Linked DNA regions of Sus scrofa. The protein of the gene in region 1 purifies or fractionates together with the protein of each later gene. This does not show direct contact. Links are inferred from orthologs where the notes say so. Each region holds a gene or a part of one and is shown in the gene's direction. Other genes may lie near its edges. The genes, in order: SMURF1, SMAD6 and STK38.

Region 1 (3,648 bases):
TTTCTTTCTTTCTTTTTTTTTTTTTTTGTACTAAATGCAGAACTCCTGCCTTCCTCCCTGGTGTACCTTTCCCTGGGTTAAGTTTTGAATTGTTTGTTTGCAGACCAGCGTCTGGATCTATGCAAACTAAATCCCTCAGATACTGATGCAGTTCGTGGCCAAATAGTGGGTAAGAACTTTCTCATCTGTATAAAGCGATACTTTTACAGAACGTACCATTCAGCTCTTCCTCACCGAGGAAACACTCTAAGGCACTGACCCATGGTGACACTGAAAGGACAGACCACCCTCGGGGCCCATCTCTGTCCAGTACTGAAACGTTTCATCTCGTGTGGTTTTTTTTAAGTATGTTACCTGGTGCTCTTCAGTCTGTCATTCAAGGTGGAGTTAAAGTGACCGAGGTACAAAAAAGACGGAGGGTTATAATTGTTAGTGTCATTTTTAACCCTCACGCTGATGGGCAGTTAGTTGTCATGGTACCCAAGGGTAGGTGATAAAAACGGTGGCCACACACGCAAGTGCTGAGAAAGAGGCTCTTGAGGAAGACCCGCCGAACATGAAACAGGCAGAGGCGGTGTCTGCAGACTCCAGGCGGTGTGATTTTACGGAGTCAGGACTGAGCGGCTTAGAATGAAGACGTGAGAGGGGCTCCGTCGCAGACTGCTGACCAGAGGTGTTCTGTTGGAAGGAAGGAATCCGCTAAGCCGCTCGTGCACGTATCCACCCCATTTTTAGGAGCGTTCTGGGGGCAGCGCAGACGTGGCGAGGCATCAAGACAGAGTATCCCCGCCGCACGCCAGTGACTTAGGACCCCAGACCCGTAGCTGTTGTCTTAGGTGGACCTGACCCGGGATCAATGAGCAGAGCGTAGCGTCCTGAAAACTCCCCTGACGACACAGTCCTCACCCAGGGCCTCTCTGCGGGCCATTTCTTCTTGTCTTTGGGGAGGGCCGGGCTGGGGAAGGCCGGATACCTGGAAGGGGCGTCACGACTTCATCAGCGTCTCAGGCGTTCACGGCGGGGACCGAGAACATATGTGTAGATGCAGCCAGACGCTGCAGATTCCAAAAGCGCTCTCTGTGTCCCTATTGGACGCAAATCAGAATCGTCTTAAAAGGTGAGGGAGCTTAGACGAAGTGAGGAGTACAATCTGTGATTCCGACCGAGAGCATGGCAGACGCGCCCTCTGCCCCCCGTTTGCAGGAGTGCTCCCAGCCGCACCGGGGGTGCAGCTAACGCGCAAACTGCTTCAGGCCTGAGAGCATAGGGCTGTGTGTGTGTGTACCTGTAGGCATGTGCCTTGTAAAGTAAGGTTGTACACAACTTCTGCGTTTGCACTGGCCCACTGTGTGCAGTCGCATCATGTGGCACTGGATTTTAACGCAACCCTTGTCTTCTTCTCAGTCAGCTTACAGACGCGAGACCGACTAGGCACCGGAGGCCCCGTGGTGGACTGCAGAGGCCTGTTAGACAACGAAGGGTGCGTACCGCCGCCGCGGCGAGGCCTGAGGGGGGGGCCCCCTGCCGCCCGCGCGCTCTCGCTCCGCGAAACTGGCCTTCCCACCTTGCTGCTGGCTCGAAGGCTGGGATGCAGGAAAGGCCGTGGGGATAAAACTGGGGTCCAGTTGGCTTGATTATAAAGGACCCTGTCGAGACGCGTGCCCCAAAGACTCAGAATCCAATTTCCAGAGGTTCCCACTGGCCACAGAGCATCAGTAAAGAATTAGAACTGCAGTGGGGGAGTTCCCGTCGTGGCGCAGTGGTTAACGAATCCGACTAGGAACCATGAGGTTGCGGGTTCGGTCCCTGCCCTTGCTCAGCGGGTTAACGATCCGGCGTTGCCGTGAGCTGTGGTGTAGGTTGCAGACGCGGCTCGGATCCCATTGCTGTGGCTCTGGCGTAGGCCGGTGGCTACAGCTCCGATTCGACCCCTAGCCTGGGAACCTCCATATGCCGCAGGAGCGGCCCAAGAAATAGCAACAACAACAACAACAACAAAAAAAAAAAAAAAAAAAAAGAAAGAAAGAAAAAAAAGGACTTGCTTATAGAGGAAAATCGCCTCTCTGGGTCAGTTGTCTTCAGAATGGTGCAGAAGATGAAGATTTAGGGTAAAGGGTGCTTTTAAAGTCAATGCAGCATTTTACACAACCAGGAATTCTCTTCTAGAATAAAATGACAAGGGAAACGAAACGTTTGGATCTGATTCTGCGTCAAATTGAAGTCCCGTTTTATGAGCTCCTTCGCATACTCGGTTGGTCTTTTCCAGCCCTTCAGCTCCAGACGAGGATGAGATCCCGCAGGTGGCCTCGGCGGCACTTTACACGTGGCTCCCTTTGGCCCCTGGTTCCTCCTCTCTCTTTCCAATTAAATAGGACGGGCCGAGTTTTATGCAACTAAGCACGTTGGGATGCTCTGTATCGTTCAAGAAAAGCCACATACACAGGTGTGCGAGCGTCATGACGCACCGTTGGGCGCTTCCCTGTCCCCGCCGGCGTCGTCACGCGTGCTGTGCTCCTCCCCCTTCTAGAACCGTGTATGAAGACTCGGGCCCCGGGAGGCCACTCAGCTGCTTCATGGAGGAACCAGCCCCTTACACGGACGGCCCGGGGGCCGCGGCGGGAGGCGGGAACTGCAGGTTTGTGGAGTCCCCGAGTCAAGATCAGAGAGTCCAGGCCCAGCGACTTCGAAACCCCGAGGTCCGAGGGCCCCTGCAGACGCCGCAGAACCGACCGCACGGCCACCAGTCCCCGGAGCTGCCTGAAGGCTACGGTGAGAGGCCTCGGCCCGCCCCCGGGGTGCCCGGCAGCCTAACCCCGTGTTAGGAACCTGTGCGTGTCAGAGCTGCTGACGTTCGTGGCGCTGGGCCACGCGGGGCTGTGTCCGTGTAAGACGAGACCCCGGGGATCGGTGGGAAATCCCGCTCGGCGGGGCCGCACTCCGGTTGCTCCCACCTCCCAGGTGAGCGGTTGTGCGAGGATTTTAGGCCAGTGAACCAAAGACCAGTGCCACCGGGGGGAAGGGGGCTGACCGAGGGGTCTGCGGTGCCCTGGGGGTTGAAGGCCAGCCTTGGGCAGCAGCGAAAAGACGGGACCTTTGGACAGCGGCAGAGGGAGGTCCTCAATGAAGGAGGACCGCGTGTAGAGTCAGAATGGTGGCAGAGGTCCCGGCGGGGTCCGTCCCCCGGTGGCAGGCCTGGGGATGCGGCCCAGGAAGGAGAGCCCGGCTCTCCGGGTGTGAACAGGAGTCAGCTGCCCGCACGCATGGGCGCGGGGCTGCGGCTCCCGGAAGCCCGGCAGGTTAGCTGCTGCCCTTCCAGCCCTCTTCCTGGTGATTTTAAAGGCTCTTGGAAGGAAGCGGAGTCGGCTTACAGGATCCCTCCTTGTCGCTGAGGGTAACTGATGGTGCTCCCCGCTTTCTTGTGCAGAGCAGAGAACCACCGTGCAGGGGCAGGTGTACTTCCTGCACACGCAGACTGGAGTCAGCACCTGGCACGACCCCAGGGTACCCAGGTAGGTCTCCCGAATGCCCCCCGGCAGAGCTGCGTCCGGCCTTTGCCTGGAGCCCCGAGTGTGGGTGACAGAGCCCCGAGGTTTGCAGACAGAAACCGGCAGAGCGGCGGCACAGACAGGACATCTGTCCTGGGGGCCG
Region 2 (3,748 bases), on another chromosome or scaffold:
CTGCCCCTGCAGTATAGTCTCCACATGGCCGCTAGAGGGAGCCAGTTAAAATAGAAGGCAGATCTGTCTCTCCCTCTCCTGGCTTCCAGGGTCTCCCAGCTCAGAGGACAAGCCAAAGACACATCTATGGCCTGTGTGACCCCCCCACCCCCACCCCCACCCCAGTTTTTCTCTCATCTTATCACCTCTTTGATGGTCTTGGAACATGCTCAGGACCCTTGTACTTGATGTTCTCTGAGCCTGGAACATTCTTCCCCCAGTGTCAGAGAGGTTCCCTTCATCATCAAGATCTTGCTCAAATGTCACCTTCCCAGAACAGCATTCCATGACCACTTTCTCTGAACCACACTCACCCTCTCCTAGCATTCCTGTCTCCTCTTCTCTGTTTTATTTTTGATCTTGGCAACTTTATCTTCCAAGATGCTGGATACCTGATTATTTTGTTTATGGTCTGTCTGTCCTTCCACTAGGTTCCTTGAGCTCAGGGATTTTTGTTTTGCTCACTGCAGGATCCCTAGCACCTGGAACATGGCCTGGGACCCAATAGGAGTTTGATGAGTTGGTGTCCAATAAATGAATACGAAGTTTCATTCAAGCACATGTGCATTTTTTTTTTTTTTTTTTTTGCTATTTCTTGGGCCGCTCCCACGGCATATGGAGGTTCCCAGGTTAGGGGTCGAATCGGAGCTGTAGCCCCCGGCCTACACCAGAGCCACAGCAACGCAGGATCCGAGCCACGTCTGCAACCTACACCACAGCTCACGGCAACGCCGGATCGTTAACCCACTGAGCAAGGGCAGGGACCGAACCCGCAACCTCATGGTTCCTAGTCGGATTCGTTAACCACTGCGCCACGACGGGAACTCCCACATGTGCATTTTTCAAGAAAGAAGGTCCAGGGTACTCATCAAAGTCTCAGAAGTGTTGTCTACCACCAAAGGGGGCAACAGCTCCCCCATTCTGGACCATGTTGGCCAAGTAGATTGACCTTCTAGAGATGCAGACATCACATAGCCAGTTGGGCCTATAGTGTTCTCCTGAGAGTTAATAAGTGAAGCATTGTTTTATCCATTAGTTTTCTGTGAAGTGGGCTGGGTTGAATCAGTCTCCCTGCCCTTCCATCTCTACATAGCAAGAGGTGGCCCAGACACCCTCTATGATACCTCCATTCATATGCAGTGACTCCTAGAGCCTGCCTCTTCCAACCGTTGAGAAGCAAGCTCTGTCTTGAATGATTTCTGCCATTTCATGCCTTGTGTCTTCCCAGCTAATGTGGAAACATCCCAAAGCAAAAGATCGTGTTTTTCTGGGACCAGATATTAAGAAAATGGACACTCAAGCAGCCCTGGGTTCAAGTCCCATATCTGCCACTTGTTATTTAATCTCTCTGTTTCCTTCTTTTTTAAAAATGGATCCTATAAGAATAAGAACTTCTTCATGTTGTTGGGAGGATTTGATGAGATAGTGCATATAGGTGTTTGGTACAGGATGATGAACAGCATGGAACTTGGCAAAGAAAACAATTTTAATTCCAGCATATCACAAACATTAAGTGCCCTTATGTGATAGGAGTTATGCTAGGGACTAGGGAGACGAAATGGGACAGGCCCTCTCTTGTGTACATTAGCTTCTCTGATAGTGCAGAGTGGCATCAAGTGTCCTGTTTCGCTCAATGGGGCTGTGAGTGGCCTGTGCCTGGCATTTCAGCTTATTTAGCCACAGGGGGCTTACATTCCAGAGGCAGAGGATTGCAAGGTTTACGAATTGTGAGAAAACACAGGGTTCTCTGAGGGGAATACTAGAATGATGGGGAGGGGGCAGATTTGAATCTGAGGGGTTACCTCTTCATTATTTTGTGAGTAACCTGGCTGCAGAGACCTGTGGAGCAGCAACTGGGACCTCACTTATCTCCTCTCCTGCACCCCAGGGAATTGGAGCTTGTTCTCCAGAAGGGTGATCTAGGAGGATGCCTGTAGGCTGAGGCTCCGAAGCATGCCCTCTGGGCACTGCGACACACACCCTCTAGTGGTCACAAGTCAGGCAGTAGGCTGGATGGGCCCTAGAAATCCAAGGACAGTGGGACTGCCACCATCCTTTTAGTATCCCTTTCTGATCCTATCTCCACCGTGACACAGTCTTTCTAGAATGAGGGATGACTCTGGGACCTCATGTTGTTTAATTTTGGTAACCACCTATAGCATGATTCCTATTCCCAGTTTACAAATGAGAGCCCTGAGGCTAATAGAGCTGAGGGAAGTTAAGTAGGGTCAGTACTGGACTCAGGCCTACCAGGCATCATCCAGCTGGGACCTAAAGGCGCCCCACCCCACTGGCACATCTCTGGGTTGAGCAGGAGCAGAAGGCAAACTCTGTCTGAATTACCACCCAGGGAGAAGGTAGCCCTCCCTTGGAAGGTTACTACTTTAGTTGCTCCTTGGCCTGAGGCTCCAAGCACAGACCTGGCATCCCTGAAGGAATCCTGCAGAAAGGGGTGAGCTGGTACCTCAGGGAGGTATGGGGGTAAGGGGGAAAGAGCCACAGCTCACAGATTTGCCTCCAGGGTTAGGGGCTGAGCATTTGAGGAAGACTTGAAGGGTAGCCCATCTGCCTGCTGGTCTCCCTTTACCTTTGCTTCACACCCATTTATGCCTCCCCCCAGCCAAAGTGGCTGGGTTTAAATCCAGCCTCTACCACTAACTACAGGCTTGTGCAAGTTACTTAAGGTCTTTGTGCCTCAGTGTCCTTAACTGTAAATTAGTGCTTAACAACCATGCCTACCTCCCAAAGTGTTGTATGGAGTTTGGGGCCTCACTCCACAACAGATTCAGCACGTCCAGTGGACATTTTGAAAAACACTGTCCTGAAGGGTGTGCTCTGGCAACACAGACCCACCCCACTTTCTAGCTGTTGGGGGAGGGTGCACAATGGTTTATACCTCTCTGGTTTTAGCATTTCAGTACTTTCAAGACTATCTTCTTTTCAATGGCAAATTAAGTGAGCAAGTTCCTATTCCTCAGTTTCCTCATTTATAAAATGGAAATAAGAGTATCAGTGTTGTTGTGAGAATGACTAAAATCTTTGTAATGCTTGAAACATGGCCTTGCCCATAGTAAACACAAGTTATTGCAATCCATGGTCAAACCAGCAGATACCCTAATTAAAACAAGCTATTAAAAAACTACATTACATTGAGTTTCTCCTTACATTAATTTCCCCAGGGGCAAGAAGTGATCGAAAAGGGGGTACAAGATCCTTTATTCTTTAGTTGTCCTTTAGGTGTTGCTTACACAGGTGTTTTGTTCACTTGTGAAAATTCACCCTGTTTACTTGCGATTTGTGAACTTAAAATGCACTGTCTTGTAGAATCTTCATGGTTCTGTGAAGAAAGCAGGGCAGGCATCAACAACCCCATTTATCAAACAAGAAACTGAGGTCAAGACAGCTGTTTTCATTAGGCCGAAGTAGAAGGGGATGAGGGTGGGGAAGATTCTAAGTCCTGCCCTCAGTTCTCCAGAGTAACCGCCTCTCCCAGAGGGTGCGGAGCGAACAGTGCCTGGCTCCAGGTGAAGTTCGGCAAAAGGTTCTGAGTCCTTCCTACAAACACCGCCCTTCCCCCAGGGCACACACAACTCGGGCCCACTCGGGGACTCACACCACCGCACGCTCACAAGGCCAGCCCCACACGTGGGAACCCCCGAGGGAGGCGCGCGCGCAGGCGCCCCCTCTGCCCTCGCTGGGGAATGGCGCC
Region 3 (3,648 bases), on another chromosome or scaffold:
CATTGCAGAATAATGCAGTACAGTATGCAACCCTTTATTAAAAGTTGAAATATACAAGAAATAATACTTCATTTATCCATATAAGCATAGCACAGCAACATCAGAGTAGTTATGACTTCATTGGGAAGGAAGGGATTCTATACTTTCATTTCTTTTAACAAGACAAATGTCCTGAGACAAATATTGCAGATATTAACTTCTCTTTAATACAGATAATGGGTATTGATTGTGCCTTTTTTTCCTGTATGTTTGCAGTGTTTCATAATAAATATTTTAAAAAGTCAACACAGCTGTAGCTTTTGATTTTGAAAGTTATGTAACATGGAAAGCCTTAGATTAGAGCCTTCTATGTAATAAGCCCTCAGATGCTGAGCACAGGAAGGCTTTGACTATACTTCCTAGTATTGCAGTACTAGTACTTCCTGGTATGTGAGCGATTACTCGAATTTAGAAAATACTCCTCTAAGAACTATTTATTTAAATGTTTCAGTTTGGTAATTAGACATTTATAAACCTTTGACTAATAGGTTATAACTTTGTCTTTTGGTAATAGTTTCCCTTTATGATTTTCCAAATTAAAAAATACATGCAGTAGAAAGAGGAATGGTTTGGAACAAGATATAGTTAATTCCCAAACTGGGCTCTGCTGCTCTAGGTGGTGCTCGTAGCCTTTGGTCTCTAGAAGAGAACTCTGGGCACCCTCCCACCTGCTGGGCCTCCCTGACGTGTGGTACGTGTTTCAGGCCTTCTCCACGGTAGGCACTCCTGACTACATTGCTCCCGAGGTGTTCATGCAGACCGGGTACAACAAGCTCTGTGACTGGTGGTCGCTTGGGGTGATCATGTATGAGATGCTCATCGGTAAGTGCGTGCTCTCAGAGGACTTCCTGTGCAGCAGGGAAAGAGTCCAGTGTTGGTAATAGACTGTTTCAGTTGGTCATCTAAGTGAGCCCTCCCCTCCCCGTCTTGCAAAGTGGAGTTTCCTAGGTGGAACACTGGGCCATCAACTGACTCATCTGTCTTCTGGCCCCCTGACCCCCTGTGGTTGCTTTGCTGATCATTCATCATGTTTTTCTTCTACTTTTTCATCCTCCATCTAGCAGCTCTTTCACTCCCCGGCGTTTTTTGAACACCCACTGTATACAGAGAGTCTTGACTGGGCAGTGTCTCAGGCACTCTTCTTATTTGCTGTCTCCTCTCTTTCAAAGCCTTCAAGGCATGGAGCCCTCTGACCTCTCCCCTCCTGTTTGGGTGGAGTGTCTGTGTTTAGGGGGCATGTCTGTGGGGGCAGCCTCATGCCCAAATGCTAGCAGAGCACGTGTGTGTGACCCGTGTGGCATGTCTGGCCGTGCATCTTTGTGAGCACAGGGAGGATGCCCGTGCTGGCCAATGTGGTCTGTGTGCAGCGCAGGGGGAATGACTCTCCTCTCGCCTCTAAGTTCTCAAAGAGAGGATGGTGGTCACTTTTAAAAGTGATGCTTTTTTCTTATTCAACTGGTTGGGCCCTCTGCCTGTATAAGGATGTTCCTAGGATGGGGTTGTTGCTTAATGATGTTTCATTCTTTGGGCACAGTGAGTCCATCTGCAACCTATTATGTCCTTGCTGGCTCCAGCTGCTAGCTGGCTCCCTAAAGGTACCAGAAGCACAACTTGACTTTGGGTTTAGGAGTTTGGGGAAAAAAGAAAAATGAGTTTAGATATTTTCTGGGATGAGTAGAAATCCTGGCCCTGTCATGTGGGGAAGAGCATAGAGGAGCATTAAAGAGATAGAAAATTGTATTAAGGAGAATAATCTCAGTCAGATTCAAAGTTCTGGGATGTAAAAGCTGTGAAGTTCCTTTTTTATTACAGGCTACCCACCTTTCTGTTCTGAGACCCCTCAAGAGACGTATAAGAAGGTGATGAACTGGAAAGAAACTTTGACTTTTCCTCCAGAAGTTCCTATTTCTGAGAAAGCCAAGGATCTAATTTTGAGGTATCAGAGAACATTTCCCCTGCCCCCTGCCCTGTCTTTTTTTGACACAGTGAATCCATTTTTTAAAATTTTTCATTGTTGCCTGGATCTGCCCCCTGCTTCCTCCCATTTCTTTCTTTTTTGAAGCGACTACTTGAGGTAACGCTGAAAGGCCTGTCTTTTCCAGATTCTGCTGTGAATGGGAACATAGAATTGGAGCCCCTGGAGTTGAGGAAATCAAAAGTAATCCTTTTTTTGAAGGTGTTGACTGGGAACATATCAGGTATATCCATATAAAAGCTTTTAGGATAATTTCAGAAAGCGTATAGTTTGTTTAATGCTAATTCAGAAGTACCCTTACTGGCAAGCCGAGGATGGGAAGAGAGCCTCTTAGAAACTCCGGTTCATTCACTGTGAGGATTGGGAGTCAGAGCTTCCTGTGGGCTGTGTGCCACAGGATACGGTGAAGCCAGCCGTCTTTCCCAAGTGAAGGCAGCTTTGGATTCCACAGTTGCGTTTGCTGTTCCCCAGAACATGTCCACCTCTAGTGTCATGTTTTGGATTCCACAGCGGAGGACCACCTACCCAGAACATGGCCCACCTTGCCCATAGGGTAGGCTCTGTCACTGGGAGATAGAGAAGGAAAAAGGACTGAAGAAGGACAGGTTGGGTGGTGGTGAGGGGGTCTGAAATTGTCAAGGGGGGTGGTTGTAGAGGGCTACCCCCATACCACCCAGACCAAACAGAAGGCAAAGTTGTCATCTTTTTCATAGCGCTCTTGTTTGCATGCTTGAGGTTTTTACCTTTGCCATCCTTGTGCATTTTTAGCCACTCTGCTTTTTGGCACTTCTGCCCTACATGAAGGGACACTGAGAGGTTCCGTTTCCCTTTCAGCGGACAGGGCAGGCTGTTGGGGGAGTGCACTAACTTTGGATTTTAATTTCTTTTCTCCATATTTTTCTGGTCTTTCTTCCTAGCTATGAATAATTACTTGTATTTTTCATCATGATTTTGTTTGGATATAATCAGCTGCCGTGGTTGGTCAGTGGTCATAAGCTTTTCAGAGAAAATAAATGCTGCCTGCATGGAAAGTCCTCCCATGTCAGACCAGGGGTCTGTTAGTTGTGATCCATGTGATTACAAATTGTAGTAATTTTGGCATGTCTGTTCTTGGCAGAGAGAGACCTGCTGCAATATCTATTGAAATCAAAAGCATTGATGATACCTCAAATTTCGATGAGTTTCCAGAATCTGATATTCTTAAGCCAACAGGTAATATACTGCCACTGCTTCCTGCTGCTTATAAGTGCATCACTTTCCCCGAACTTTGGGGTGATGTTTACAAATCAGGGTAGAGAGCATAGAGAGGAACTTTGTAAGTATTTTTCTAGTGTTAATACTGGCCGGCAGTGAGATGGTGTTGAATGACAAGTGAGTACAGACACCACGTTTAGACTGCTCAACCAGGTGGTGAATCACAAAGATTTTCTCTTTTGTGGTTATTTATTAAATTTAAGGTTAGGTAACCTGAAATGACAGAAATGGGAAAATAAAACTTTTAAAATATTGTGGAAAAATATGAAGGTGAAAAAACATAGGCATGCAAATGCAGAAAATATGCAGAGTGAAAAATAACCTTTAACAGAAGCTGTGGTACGTCCTCGAGAATTTCGTGTCTTCAGCACTGAGTAGTC

Evidence for each region.
Region 2: the proteins of SMURF1 (region 1) and SMAD6 purify together in Homo sapiens (affinity purification with western blotting; 4 studies listed by BioGRID). This does not show direct contact. The link is inferred for Sus scrofa from reciprocal best matches to the Homo sapiens genes SMURF1 and SMAD6.
Region 3: the proteins of SMURF1 (region 1) and STK38 purify together in Homo sapiens (affinity purification with western blotting; 3 studies listed by BioGRID, with this or other methods). This does not show direct contact. The link is inferred for Sus scrofa from reciprocal best matches to the Homo sapiens genes SMURF1 and STK38.

The regions. Positions count from the first base shown.
Region 1 is NC_010445.4:6,054,344-6,057,991, reverse strand, and holds part of SMURF1 (E3 ubiquitin-protein ligase SMURF1), read left to right. Parts: intron 1-103; coding exon 104-169; intron 170-1,404; coding exon 1,405-1,480; intron 1,481-2,527; coding exon 2,528-2,769; intron 2,770-3,424; coding exon 3,425-3,509; intron 3,510-3,648. UniProt on the Homo sapiens protein: E3 ubiquitin-protein ligase that acts as a negative regulator of BMP signaling pathway. Mediates ubiquitination and degradation of SMAD1 and SMAD5, 2 receptor-regulated SMADs specific for the BMP pathway.
Region 2 is NC_010443.5:164,651,090-164,654,837, forward strand, and holds the start of SMAD6 (mothers against decapentaplegic homolog 6), read left to right. Parts: upstream 1-1,512; 5' UTR 1,513-3,748. UniProt on the Homo sapiens protein: Transforming growth factor-beta superfamily receptors signaling occurs through the Smad family of intracellular mediators. SMAD6 is an inhibitory Smad (i-Smad) that negatively regulates signaling downstream of type I transforming growth factor-beta.
Region 3 is NC_010449.5:32,208,598-32,212,245, reverse strand, and holds part of STK38 (serine/threonine-protein kinase 38), read left to right. Parts: intron 1-743; coding exon 744-861; intron 862-1,851; coding exon 1,852-1,975; intron 1,976-2,141; coding exon 2,142-2,237; intron 2,238-3,131; coding exon 3,132-3,226; intron 3,227-3,648. UniProt on the Homo sapiens protein: Serine/threonine-protein kinase that acts as a negative regulator of MAP3K1/2 signaling. Converts MAP3K2 from its phosphorylated form to its non-phosphorylated form and inhibits autophosphorylation of MAP3K2.